Coturnix japonica: one gene and its partner. The protein of the gene in region 2 purifies or fractionates together with the protein of the main gene of each other region. This does not show direct contact. Links are inferred from orthologs where the notes say so. Each region holds a gene or a part of one and is shown on either strand. Other genes may lie near its edges.

What was found.
Region 1: the proteins of SERBP1 (region 2) and TSR1 purify together in Homo sapiens (affinity purification with mass spectrometry; 3 studies listed by BioGRID and IntAct, with this or other methods). This does not show direct contact. The link is inferred for Coturnix japonica from reciprocal best matches to the Homo sapiens genes SERBP1 and TSR1.

Annotation. Positions count from the first base shown.
Region 1 is NC_029534.1:4,412,047-4,414,256, reverse strand, and holds part of TSR1 (pre-rRNA-processing protein TSR1 homolog), read left to right. Parts: intron 1-155; coding exon 156-315; intron 316-649; coding exon 650-813; intron 814-1,071; coding exon 1,072-1,274; intron 1,275-1,340; exon of another isoform or gene 1,341-1,433; intron 1,434-1,572; coding exon 1,573-1,735; intron 1,736-1,851; coding exon 1,852-1,962; intron 1,963-2,210. UniProt on the Homo sapiens protein: Required during maturation of the 40S ribosomal subunit in the nucleolus.
Region 2 is NC_029523.1:25,833,285-25,836,784, reverse strand, and holds part of SERBP1 (plasminogen activator inhibitor 1 RNA-binding protein), read left to right. Parts: intron 1-811; coding exon 812-859; intron 860-3,253; coding exon 3,254-3,427; intron 3,428-3,500. UniProt on the Homo sapiens protein: Ribosome-binding protein that promotes ribosome hibernation, a process during which ribosomes are stabilized in an inactive state and preserved from proteasomal degradation.

The DNA.
Region 1 (2,210 bases), on a different chromosome or scaffold from region 2:
GCAGCATAACTGATGTGACACTGGAGGGAGTTTCTGCTGTTTCTTGGATGTTTTCTGGTAGCAGGGGCTGTGGGAGTTGTTGTCCTTGGCTTTAAAGTGGTTATTAGCTTCAGATGGATAACTTCATAGCTGGGGACTCTGCTTTTGTTCTTCAGGAAGACTCTGCGAATGGTACTGATGAGATGGAGGAAGATGTTAAAATCCTGATGAAGGCAGATACAAGCAAACAGGAATCTTTGCAGTCAGAAGTGGTTCCTGATCCTATGGAAGGGGAGCAGACGTGGCCAACCGAAGAAGAACTGCAAGAAGCAGAGGGTGAATAGCAGCAGTATTTCTCTACCTTTCCCTTGTTGCTCTTACAAGGGTTGTTAGAATCCACCTGTTGGTGGGATAGCTGAAGGGGACTGTGGAGAAACAAGCCAGCTGGGAACCAAACCATTTTATGTGACCTCTGTTCTTGGTTCCCCTCACCTGACTGCAGGGCTGGCTGGTTTGCCTTACAGCAGGGTTACATTTTAGCTGCCTTTTCTAGGCTCTGACAAATTCTATTCTGGGAAATAGTGACTCTGGTCTCTAGAGGTGGGCTTGGTTCTCCTGGTGTAAATGCTGTAAATGTACCTGTATTAACCATTGGTGGGAATTCCCACAGCATCTCAAAAGGAGAACAAAAGGGTGGTGAAGGTCCCCAAGGGTACATCCAAGTACCAGGCTGCATGGATCGTGGATGATGGAGAAGAAGGCAGTGAGGAAGGTGATGATGATGATGATGATGATGATTTTGGTGATGATATGATGGAAGAGGCAGTTTCCCAGGTAACTCTTAAGATCTGATACTGAAAGTCATCTTCTGGATGCCACTGCATATCCTAGTTCAGTCCTGTCCTTGTAGCTCTCCCTATGCAAGAACACAATACTGAGATAAGACTTGCTTGAATTTCCTCTGTTGTTATAGTGTGGGCTGTGTATAGGGGGCTGTGTTATAGCTTGGGCTATAAGTCACACTGTGCAAATACCTACAGGATTTGCAGTACTGCAGAGACATAAGATTCCCTGTGCTCTCCTATGTGGCAGGAGGGAGAAAGCAGTGAGGAGGAAGAAGAGCTTGCAGAAGAGGAATGTGAGACCATGACCATGTCTGAGTGCATGCGGGATGACCAGTACGATGAGAAGATGGAGGAAGATGAACAGATGCTGGAGAAATACAAACAGGAGAGAATGGATGAGATGTTTCCAGATGAGGTGGACACACCACGTGATGTGCCTGCCAGAGTCCGGTAAGAAACCTGCGATGCTGGGAGAGAAGCTAGAAGGGGTTTTTCTCTCTGGTTTGTTGAGGTAGGGCAGGAAGCCAGTGATGTCCTAGCCATGATGTCTGAACCTGGCTGAAGGACTCTTCTGAAGATGAACCTTTAGGCTCTGAGGCTTCCAGGGGGGATAGTAGCTGAGACATTGTGCTGCTCCTTGGGGCAGAAAGAACCTGTCCTGAGCTGGGAGAGAAAAGAGGAAGGCAGAGTCCTAGTGTTAGTCCTTGTGGATTTGTGAATCTGTCTTTTCCTGTTGTCTGTCCTTAAGGTTCCAGAAATACCGAGGGCTCAAGAGCTTCAGGACTTCTCCATGGGACCCCAAAGAGAATCTCCCAAGGGACTATGCAAGGATCTACCAGTTCCAGGACTTCTCCCGAACCAGAAAGCACCTCTTCCGGCAAATAGAGAAAGAGGAGACTGAAGGAGCTTCGGTAACTCCAGTTGATGCTGTTCTTTTGGGTTCCCTCTCTAATCCTGGCCTTGTATCTGTGTCCTGACACTTTTTTTCTACTGCTAGAGGTATTCATATCTGATGTTCTCTTGGCAGGTTGGCTGGTATGTTACATTACATGTCTGCAATGTCCCCGTCTCAGTGATGGAGAGCTTCAAAGAAGGGAAGCCACTAGTCCTGTTCTCACTGCTTCCCCATGAACAGAAGGTGACTAAGTTTGGCTCTGCTGATTCCATGTATGTGTGCAGCTCTTTACCTGATTCCCCTGATGCTGCATGGGTTGGAGAGGATTTGGCTGCTGAAGGTTTGGTCTAAGATTGCTTGCGTTTAGAAACAGGATCTTCCTTTGATCAGAGCAGCCTGAAGCTTACAGAGGTGTTCAGACTAGAGTGTCTGAGCCTGGCTGGTTTGCACTGATGACCAGCAGTCATCTGGGAAGCCACAGTGAAGGGAAT
Region 2 (3,500 bases):
GGTCTTTTCCACGTGCTGTACAATGAACTCTTCGTACTGTCTCAGATTCTTGCTGATTTAATATGAAATCCACATGTATTGGCAGCCCTCATCTGATGAGAGTCTTTCCAGAAGGCTTGGTTGTGCCATAAGAGATCCTTTTCCTTCTCTGCAGCTGGCTTAGTAATTGAGTACTTCAAGTCCTACTGAACAAATAACAGGAAGCTGAGTTGTGAAGAAATGTTAAAATTTGTTCCAGTTGTTCAAAACAACTCCTGGAGAGATTCATCCACCAGTGAATGAGCTCCTGCTCAACACATCTGTTGTGCTGTGCCTCTACCCTCATCGCTTCCTTAGAGAAGAGATCACAATGGAAGACTGAGAAGCAAGTATCGGAACACAGTCGGTCATCTTTGCAAAGTGTGTAGCTCAGTTTCTGCGCAGCCTGAATTCCTTTTTTCATTAGGCATAATTAATTGAAGCCACCCTCAACCTGTGCCATCTGTCTGTGCAGGCCTGTGTGCCCACTGTAGTGAGGTGAAGGAGATTGGTCTGCAGGTGGAGTTCTCAGCAGGTCGTTAAACAACTTCTTATTCCCAATCTGAGATTTCTCTTTGCCTTCCAGTATAAATCCATCCTCTGCACCTTCTGGATGCTTGTACAACTTCTCTCATCCTTTTGCTGCTTCGTGTGCTCACTGCCATCTGTATCCAGCAAGTTCATGTGACCTTATTACGTGTTGTTTCTATATGTAGTTGAGTCTCATTTCTTCCTTTTGTTTTCTCCCTTTGTTCCTTTTGTCACTTTGGTGTGGACACGCAACTTTCATCAGACAAAGGCGATGACAGAAATGCAGGGGAGTCTGCTGGAGTCAAATGAGGTACTGATCCTTTCTATCTAACTGGTGATACGTGCTTTTGATCGGAGCCCCTTCTGAAATGAAGGGCTTTCGTATAAGGAAACAGCAAACGTAGAGAATATGGAGCTTTTCTGTCCATGCCTGTTGTCTCACTGCACAGTGTAGGGCTCTCCGTAATTAGTGCCTTTTTTCCTTCTTGATCGTCCCATAAACACTTCCATCGTGAGTCTCTTATTTTCTCTTGCTGTTTTTCCATATCTTCCTATCTGCTTTGGCTAACTTTCCATTAGTGACTTGTTCTTAAAGCTTTGGACAGGCTTTCCCAAGACCCACGAATGCAGCAGTGCCTTCGAGCAGCTATCTGTTAGATCAGGGCACTATCGAGAGTTGCCAGTACATACAAATGAAGTGCTTCCAAAGATGATTCAGAACAGACAGTCTATGTGGTATGTCTTCTACCACCTAAGCTCAAGAGGAGAATGTGCCAAGTCTTCTATTGGTGTTTTAAATTAGCTAGAGTTATTTTGGGTAAAGAAATCCTCAGGTTACACACAGAACTTGCTACTTGCTGGCTTTAGTGGTTAAACCAAGGTTCAGTTGGGGAAAATGCAGTATTTTGGTAGACTGTAGAGTTCCTTTTTTAAGCAGTAGCAGTGCAGGGAAGTAGATGCACAGAACTACTACTTCTGCCTCTCGGAAGAGTCACTTGACTGCCAGTAAGTTGGAAATAACATCTCAGTACCCTGCGGTGTTTGAGACAGTAGGTGAGACACCATCAATAGGAAACGAATCAAAACCATAATGAGGGGCATTGCCTGCTCTTTGAATCACTGGTGGACTTCTGCTTTAATATTCTCATTCTGCCCGTGCTGTCAGGTAGAGACGTGGAATGACTCTTGTCCAAAAAGCATCTGCTGAAACCAGCTTAGGAGTGCAGAGAAGAGATCTGAGGGATGAGAGTGTGGTTCAGATCAGTAGAACCAGGAGTCTCTTAGGGAGCAGCTGCTGCACAGAACACGTCCCAGTGAAATATGTTTGGAGTAAACCAGCGTGGAGCAATACTTCTCACTGTGCCTAATTAAGCTGCAGGTGCTGTGGATGCCATACATCCAGCTGAGCTTGGAAGGGATCATTAGGGTGGGGGGTGGGGGGGGTAGTGCTCTTGGTGGCTCTGTGCATTCCGGTGCTTGTGACTGACTCGAGGCATTCCCAAAAGCAACTTTCTGCCCTTTGACTTCAGCCCTCTGTGTATCCATTGGCTGCTCTGTGAAGGATCCACAACAGGTAATTAAGAGGTGTTGCACTTAATTGCACAGTATGTTGCCTTTGAAAGTCAGAAAGTCAGTATATTGTGTAACTATACCACAAGAAAAGTAACTTACGGTCAGAATGCCTAAGCTTGCATGTGGCACCTACATGTTAGGCAAAAGAGCAAACAGCCAGAAGTTGGGTGTTAGAGAGCTGTGGATTGTCACGTTTCCAAAGTGCGATGGCTGGGCTTTTTAAGAGACAGTACTGGTCTGATCCAGTGTGGTTAATTCTACATTCTGCATGTCATCATAGGAGCCAAAAATGGGCTGCTTGTATAGAAAGTTAATTGTGCTGAGTAGGGGAGACAAAAACACCTGTTGCTTGTTGTGTTCAATGTATAATGACTTGAAATATTTGGCCTGCTCCGCATGGTAGGATGCGGGGTGTTGAGTCTTGAGTGCACCAGCAAGCACTGGGGGGTTGTTTGGTCATGGTGATGCTGGTAGGGGCCCTTCCTCAGTGGAATTTGTGAGGTGGGTTCTCTTTTAGCCTTAATTGTGTTAATTGAATTGTGTTAGTTACCTCAGTTATATTCTGTCTGAACTGTGCTTACGCCTCTTCCACTGTTTGCTATGGCTGAATACCAAGGTGGGGTTCTTTTGGTTTCCAGTGCTTGAAGTGCTTAACACGAAGCGAAGCAAATGAGGACATGTAAAGCACTCATGGAGCAAAATAAAGATGGCTTATTGAGTGCACATTGCACAAGACTTGAATGAATAGAAACTTAAGGTTCCTCAGGTATGAAACGAGAGGAAGCGAAATGCTGGAAAACAGAGTTCTGTATTGGAATGGTTGGGGCCCAGGTAAGCTGAGCCTTGTTAATGTGAAAGAATGCCAGAGCTCCTCTGAATTGTCTTGGACATACAAGATATGTTCCAGCACACTAATGAAGTTAAGGCAGAGAGCGTTTGCTGTCCTCTGCGTGGTGTCAGTGCTCTGCAGAAGTGGTGCAGTTGATGCACAGCGGTTCCTGCTGTATCTCTTACCATGCTCAGGGTGGTGTGTTTGGAGGTGAGCTCAGGTGCCGTGTCACTAAGAGTGCAGCTGCAGATGAAAACCCTTCGGTGGTGATCTGATTACTCAGGTGAAAATTGTTCATTTCAGGCTCATGCTGAGGACTCGGTAATGGATCATCACTTCCGTAAGCCTGCCAATGACATCACATCCCAGCTGGAGATCAACTTTGGAGACCTTGGCCGCCCCGGACGCGGTGGCCGAGGGGGCCGGGGTGGCCGAGGACGTGGAGGCAGGGCCAGCCGTGGGGGCAGGACTGACAAGGTGAGCAGCCAGAGCTCCCGGCTGTGGGGCAGCTGAGCTTGTGGCACCCACACTTTCCCTTCTTGTACACTCT